2 linked regions of the Rhinolophus ferrumequinum genome follow. The protein of the gene in region 2 purifies or fractionates together with the protein of the main gene of each other region. This does not show direct contact. Links are inferred from orthologs where the notes say so. Each region holds a gene or a part of one and is shown on either strand. Other genes may lie near its edges.

Region 1 (3,918 bases), on a different chromosome or scaffold from region 2:
AGCCAGCTGCACAGATGAGTTCAAGCGAGAAGTAATTGTGTCATCACACACTTGATTCATGTATATTTTAAGCCTGCGCTGATTTTCAGCATTCACACTCAGGTTATTCAGGACAATTAAAGCCTTTTCCTTAACAATGGGATCCCGAGTATTGAGAATCTTTGCAACAATTGGGAGACCACCCAGATCACGAATAATATCTCTGTTAAATGCATAAGCAGCATTGTTACCCAGAGCAATTAAAGCTGCTTCAAGAATATAAGGCTTTTCAGACATCTCAACCAAGCAAAGAACTTTTTGCAGCTCTTGGGGGGACAAAATAGTATCATCTGAGTTGGGGGAAGCCCGTTTCTGAACAGCCCGACGAGCCCGGGTAGCCCTGGCCCTTGCCCTGGCCCTAGCTCTGGTCCCAGCTTCAGTCCCAATCCGGGCCCAAGGTGGGTACCATACTATACCCTTGTTCTCACTGTTGTCATCATCATCATCAGACCAGTCATTGTACCTGGCCCCAGGACAGCCTCCGACATCATCCACATCCCCAGGCCCACCCTCAGCCATTTTCTCTTTGTTCTGTTTTCTTCCCCAGGTCAGTCTATAAATGCAGTAGCAGGCACCAGCCCCAATCACCAGTCCCGCAGTCACCCAGCCTACTTTCCTGGCGTAGCCCATGCAATCGTCCCTGACAATAGCAGGGACCAAGGAACCGAGTAGTCACTCAGGCTAGGGAAGAGCTATGGGCCTGGGTGCAGGCCTGTGGAGGGTAATCGTCTTCAGCAGCTTCAAGGTCACAATAGCTGATACTGGAGGTGAACCTAGGGGTGGAGGAAGGAAATGGGGTTTGAGTTTCTCTTCTCTTTGTGTTGCCCCACGCAGGGAGTTGCACAGAGAGATAGGAGAGTAGTAAATGAGTACTTGATAGAAAATGTAGATTGTTGACAAACTCTATCCCCCTCATTCCACCCTCCACCTACCCTCTCCAGCCCACCCCCTCCCCAAGCCTAGATAAAGGCAATGGAGTCCATAGTCTCTACTGGGGCCTCAGCCAATCCAACCTTGGGTGTCCCCCTTGCACTAGGTGGCAACCTTGCACTAACTTCTTCCAGACAGGCAGTTTGCCCCTTCTTCCCTCCCCTGGAGGTTTGCCACACCCAACAATCCTTGTGATCTGCAGAGACCAGAGCCAGCGAGAACTGAGGGCTTGATAGACTGACTGTTCATTCCTTGCTTTCCTGATTCCCCATCTAGGTTGTTAGATTTTTTTCTTAATAACCTCTTTATGCCATCCAAAATATGCACAGGCCTGCCCCTTCCCTGTTAGGGAAATAAGGTAGGATTGGGTGAACCTGTCCAATCGCAGTGGATTTCCAACCCCTCCCCCATTCCAGGCAGCCCCCACGCCCACACCTACCTCTACTGGTCCCAGGAAACTTCCTCCCTTGCTTCAAGTGGTGCCACCTGCTACAGCAGACCTGCAGGATGACAGATCGAAAACATGAAGACTAAATACTTTTGAGAGAGAAGGATTATGAACAAACTACCTGATAGGTTTCCCTTCTGTCATTCTCCCCCACCCCCGTTCCCCCTACACACACACACACACACACACACACACACACACCCCGCACGCCATTTCGCCTCAGTCCCAAGAGTAAGATAAACACACTCAGACTCAGACCTAACCTATATTATTGTCATCTCTGGTTTCTCCCCACCCCCACCATCGCCCCTCTTAGGGTCCCCAGATGGTCTTACCCTCAAATCGACCTTCACTGATCAGGGTTAATTTCCTTCCTCTTCACTTGACTGGCGTAGTGTCGCAAACTATGGAAACACTGGCAACTGGGAGAGGATCGGACCCACTAAACACAGAGCCACGGTCAGGAAGACACAGCCACAGTCAGAAAGACTGGAAACAGCCGCTACCGAATGCTTGGTGGACGGACCGGTCCCCAGAACATGAAACTCTTTCCTAATTCGGAGGCCTAGCTGTCAAAGGTTTCCCACCCTTATTACCCTTCTCAGGGCTCTGCTGACACATCACGTTGCACGCCCCCTCCCCCATGTCCAGGCTTTCCCCGCCAGCAGTGCCCTAGAGGACTGGGGGCCAACACCCAGGCCACATCTCCCTTTCCGGATTACGGCCTCAGCTCGTAACAGATTCCCACCTCCCGGTTTCTGGGCTGCTCCCCAAACACCCCCTGCTCACCATTTCGCAGCATCAGAATGGGCTGCAGGCGGGACAGATGTCTTGTAAAGCCGGTGGCGAGTGGGAGAGACGACGGAGGCGCCTCAGGACCCGCGACGGTCTCCGCCCTACGCCCTCGAACACCCCCACCTTAAGGAATCTCCCAGGCACTGACCTGCAGGGATCCGGGACAGTTTCCTTCTCCTCCTCCTTCTTCCCTCTGCCTCAGGCTCGCTCGCCCTCAGGGCAATGGGGAGCTGGTACTCAGACGGGAACAACGACCAGAACAAGAAGGACTTCTGCACACGTCAGCTCTTGGTCACGTGAGAGCTACGTCATCCACCAACTCTGGTCCCCAATTTCCCCTCCCACCAGCAGTGCGGCAGAAGAGGACCCGCCCCCCTACATTCCCTCCCCCATACCAGGCCCTGTTACTCTTTCTTTGCTAATTCCATCAACCAGTTAGTTGTGTTTGCCTTCCTCCGATTACCGGAAAGGGAGAGAATCTTCCCTGGGGTTACTGGTCACTTGCACTTTTTGAAAAATTGCCTCTTCCTTCCCTAGGCTTCTGGGACCTCAACCTCTCCTTCCACCTCCCCTCCTCCCAGCTATTAATGTCTACCATTTCCTCTGAAATCTAGTCCCAGATTTGAAACGAGAAGGAAAAAAAAAGAAAGAAAGAAACATCAGAAAAGGAGACTTGGAGTATGAGTGTGGTTTTTACTTTTTAAATACTTTTTTTTGTTATTTTTGTTCTGCCGTCTCCTGCCCCCAGCCTGCATTCTTTTTATGAGAAAAGAAATTACTATAAAGTTGTTTTCATTTGAGAAAAAAAAAAGTTGGAATTGAAGAGTTAATTTGGGTGGATGGCCTCCAAAAGTCCCACATTTTCTCATTTATGGGGAATATTACATGCTTCGCTCAAAGCAATCTTAATGTCTTTTTGGGCCTAGCCCATAACACAACCCTGAATGAGCTAATCAGTGTGTCTGACAATGCATAGATCTAATTTAGGCCAGTCTTCTGAACAGGGAAGTCACAGACTTCTACTTACCTCAGTTAGCAAGGAAGAGGCATGGAGCCCTCAGAAACCAGTTACACACAAAAGGTTGAGTAGAAACCACAACTACATAGTGGATATCTGTTGGATAAGAAAGCATACATACTGACACAGTGAGTGGCATACAAAGAACATTATGAAATATATTTGGGTACAAATAGAAAACATTATCTTTAAATGAAATAGTTGTTAGAGAAACACTGAGACCAAGATAAAATTGGCTGAATTCGCATCTAGCAATTTAGTGCCAAACCATTTCACCAACAGTTTTGATGAACTCAGTGATTCACCTGTCAGCCACAACTGAACTTTTTTATAGAGGGAAAAGTAATAAAATAATGTCAAAACATGAGGTCTACAGTGGGACATTCCCTAACAGCTTGGATATAAGTTTATTATCTGAGTATAACTTTTTAAATCCTGAGACAATGTGGGAGCTAATTAAGAGACTTGACAATTTGGGAACAGACAAAACTCCAGTTAAATTCATAGCAATATAATTTCTGGGAGGCAGTACTTAGAAATGACTGAAATTTAGTAAACAGAAACCACATCAACTATATGATTCTGTGTTTAGAGAAAGAGCATGTGCAGTCAAGGGGGCTTATTTTAGCATGGGAATATCTGAAAAAGAAAGTCAGAGGAAAGTTTTGGTAGTTCCACCCAAGCACTG
Region 2 (3,918 bases):
TTTACACAGTTAGGCTTAAACCTCAAAATCTTGCCTACTGCTGAGATACAGTTCTCCGTAGCAATGACATTTTTTTTGGTTTTGGAATTTGCACACTTAATAACTTTTACCAGCAGTGGAACAGCTTCTGAACATAAAGAACGGTAATCATCTCCACCAAACTGTGCCATAACACCCAGGCCATAAGCAGCAGCTTGCCTGACTTCAGGGTTGTTATCTCGCATATTTAGTAGCATTGGCCACCGAAAATATTCTACATATTTAAATGAGGTTGGACTACAGTGCTCTATGATATCATCAAATATGCATAATCCCCACTGTCTGTCTGGCCATGGCCTATTAGAACAAATTAGATTTACAATTAATGGAAGCAGCTGTTCAAACCATGGTAAAATCTTTTCCTTGTAAGTACTAAATAATGAGTGCAAAATATCAGATACTTTGGTCAGAATGTAAACATCACATTCATCCTCATCTTGCAGAGACATTTCAACTTGTTGGTCATAGTTTTCTTCCTGTCTTTTAACCTGCCTCAATTCTTGATTTTTAAAGTGACCTTCAAGTTTTGCTTTCAATATTTCTCTCAGTTCTTCCAACTGTCCGTCATTAAGGCACCCATCTCCCATTACTTCAATGGACTTTGCAAAAGAATTCATTATTTCTGAGAGTACATCTGTATCAGGTTCAGTCCCAATAGCCTTGATTAAGGGATCACATATGAACTGCCACATCTGTGCAAGATATTCTGGGCCACGAATTCTTGCACATTCCAGGAGAAAAGGCATGGACTCAGCTGCTGCCACTCGAACATTGTCATGGAAATAAAATTTCAGTAAAGGAACCATCAGCTTTACAACTTGTTCTGTGTATTCCACAAATCCTTCCCTTAATTCCTTAGCATAGTAAACCAACATCTGGCAAGCAGTTGCTTTTGCTTCAAGTCCTGAAGTTTTAATTCCAAAACTTTGCTGGTCTCCAAGATTTACAAATTGCCAGCCATCATCATCACTCATATTCTCCACATCTTGTGTGTCTAAGAGAGCAACATCAGGTTTAGCTGAAGCGGTCTTAATAAGAGGCTCAATAACCAGTGGAAGATACTGTTGAAAATCATTTCCAAGAATTTTACACATTCTAGCCCACGCTGAAACCACGTAAGAGGTCTGAGGATCATCATCTTCCATATTATTTAAGTCTGATTGTGTCTTCAACAATAGCTGCATCACATTTGATGCATCTTGCATAAATTTTTCCTTCCCAACAGCAAGACCAACATGGCTAATGCACTCAATAGTTTTTCCTTTCAGAAGCTTGAGTTCTTTTTGAACAGCAAGCTCAACAATGTGCTTTAGTGAGGGCATAAATATATCATAATATGGAATGAATTTTTCTTCTATTGTATCCGCAACTGAGGCAATGGTTGTCACAAGCTGTTCCAAGGCCAACTTAGTTCCATTCCGAATCAACTCTTGAAGTTTAATCACCAAGATGGAATGTAGATTTCTCACCATACTATCCAAATACAGAACTAGCAATGATTTGGGGCAGTCTTCAATAAAAATAACAAGTGCAGAAGCTGCATGTGATTGCACACGCTGATTGCCTTGATTTTCCATGGTACGTAACAGTGCTGCAATCACTGTTTCATGGAATTTCTTTTGGAAGTTAGGCGCAAAATCTGTAGCCATCTGTCCAAGTGTAGTACAGGCTGCAGCCCTCACCCTTGGATGAGGATCCTGAAGAAAAAGCAAAACAGAGTTAACCATTTCATCTAAAATTGGTTCCATTTGCTGATGGCATCCTTCTCCAATGGCGGATAAGGCCATTAATCCAGCATGTCGATATTTCCAGTCAGGGCTCTGAAGCATCTGCATGATATGCTCCTTAGTGATTGGTAAAACAAGTTTTCCACCGAGCCCGCAAGCCAGTCTGTCTAGTGCACTCTCAGCTGCAACTGCATTGCTATCAAAATCATCTTCTTCCATTTCATCAGCATTTACCCAGTCCTCATCATCTTGTAGATCAACCATCATTGCTAATATATGAGGAACTGCCTGTGCAATAATATTTGTATGTTTTTTCAACATTGGGGTTGCAGTTTCAGACAAGGTGACTATTACTTCAAGGGCCAGCTGGCGTTGCAGATTACTAAGCCTTGAGTCTCCACATAACTTTAGACTCAACTGCAGAGTATCTTCTAAATACGGACCCAAGTATTTAGGTACAGTATCTGCAATCTCAACAAGGGATTCTAGCACTGAATCATCATCCTGGTAGCATGAGTCATTCACAGCCTGTAAGATTCCAGGGAGCAAGTCTGCAAAGTCTTTGAAAAGAGCAATATTACTCTCATTGGCAAGTACAAATGCAGCTGCAGCTCTAGCGGATAATGTCCTGATTGCTGGATGTTCTTGATCTTGAATACACTGGTCCAACAACCGTTTGATGATATCCAAATCGTGCCGCTCTTGGTTCCCAAAAATCCCAGGAAAGTGCCAGAAAACGTGAAGTGCAACTTCCCACAGAACCACATTTTTAGAGTAGATTGAATCAATAAGGAACTTCAGACCTTCAGGCCAGTGGTTAGTGCCATCCTCATCTATCAAATTCCTGGCCAGCACCGCAAAAATATCACAAAGTTTTTTCCTCATACTAGCATGTGTTTCTAACTTAACAGCCAGTATCAGTTCAATCTTCACGTCCCTCTGAACATCAGAAGGCAGATTTGGATAGACTTCCTCAAACCCAGAGGACAAAAGCCGTCGTAGCAGTGCGGCAGCCATTTGTCTCACCTCATAACCTGCTCTTCTATTTCTGACGGCATCTAAGAGGAATGTAGTCTTACACAGACCTGGGATGTTTTCATAGATTTCCTCTGCCTGCCTCCGCACCATACAGCTTGGATTGATCAGGTTCTTCAGAAGCTGGTAAAACTCTTGCTTTCCCGACACGGTCGCCGGTGCCCCTGCAGACCCGGCCGCCGCCATCGCGCTCTGTCAAAGCAACCGCGACCCGGAAGGAGGGAGGGGGGTCTGTGGCTCCAAGCAGTGACGCAAGCGAGGCGCCGGTGGGGATGGGCGGGGCCGCTTCTCCCTCCGCTCCGGGCGCGCTGGCTGAGCTTTGGGAGGGGGGGAGCGGGGTCCGGGTAAGGGGCATCCTCCATCTGTTTGACAGATAAAAATGCACATGCAGAAGGGGGGAAAAACACAATTATGATGTTGATTGTATAAGATGGGATTATGGGTGATTTTTTTTCTCCTTTGCTTTATTTCTAAATTATCTCTATTGTTACCCTGATAATGTTAAAACAACAAGTACAAGTTGACAACCGGCTAAGTGAAAGAAGCTGATCACAAAAGGCTAAATATTGTATGATTCCATTTATATGAAAGGCCTTGAATAGGCAAATCTATACAGAAAGTAGATTAGTGGTTGCCAGAAGCTGGGGCGAAGGGAGGAGCAGGGAGAATGAAGAATGATGGCTGTCAGGGGGTTTCTTTTGGGGTGATGAAAATGTAAAGATAAAAATTGATTGTGGTGATGGTTGCACATCTCTGTGATCATACTAAAAACCATTGAATTGTACAATTTAGATTGGTGAATTGTATGGTATGTAAATAATACCTCAATAAAGTTGCTTATCAAATAAGTGCAATAAAAGATAAAGACGATTATTACCACCCCACTACCATACCTAATGCAATAGAACAGTGGTGATCAAACTCTGGCATGTGTCAGAGTCATCTGGCCTGTGGATTATAATAAAGAATGAGAAAGACAACTGAGTAAAGTATGGTGGAAAGTGACCTGGGCCAGTAATCAGAAGACTTGAATCCTGCTCTTACCTCTAAATTAATTTTGTATCCTTGGTCATATCACTCAAGGTTTTCCTTGCACGTTGCCTAAACTGTAAAATGC

The links.
Region 1: the proteins of RANBP6 (region 2) and ARMCX3 purify together in Homo sapiens (co-immunoprecipitation; 3 studies listed by BioGRID and IntAct, counting the BioPlex papers as one, with this or other methods). This does not show direct contact. The link is inferred for Rhinolophus ferrumequinum from reciprocal best matches to the Homo sapiens genes RANBP6 and ARMCX3.

What each region holds. Positions count from the first base shown.
Region 1 is NC_046284.1:52,950,385-52,954,302, forward strand, and holds the start of ARMCX3 (armadillo repeat-containing X-linked protein 3), read right to left. Parts: upstream 2,515-3,918; 5' UTR 2,361-2,514; intron 1,860-2,360; exon of another isoform or gene 1,840-1,859; 5' UTR 1,753-1,839; intron 1,470-1,752; 5' UTR 1,409-1,469; intron 813-1,408; 5' UTR 670-812; coding exon 1-669. UniProt on the Homo sapiens protein: Regulates mitochondrial aggregation and transport in axons in living neurons. May link mitochondria to the TRAK2-kinesin motor complex via its interaction with Miro and TRAK2.
Region 2 is NC_046295.1:30,829,304-30,833,221, reverse strand, and holds the start of RANBP6 (ran-binding protein 6), read right to left. Parts: upstream 3,015-3,918; 5' UTR 2,988-3,014; coding exon 1-2,987. UniProt on the Homo sapiens protein: May function in nuclear protein import as nuclear transport receptor.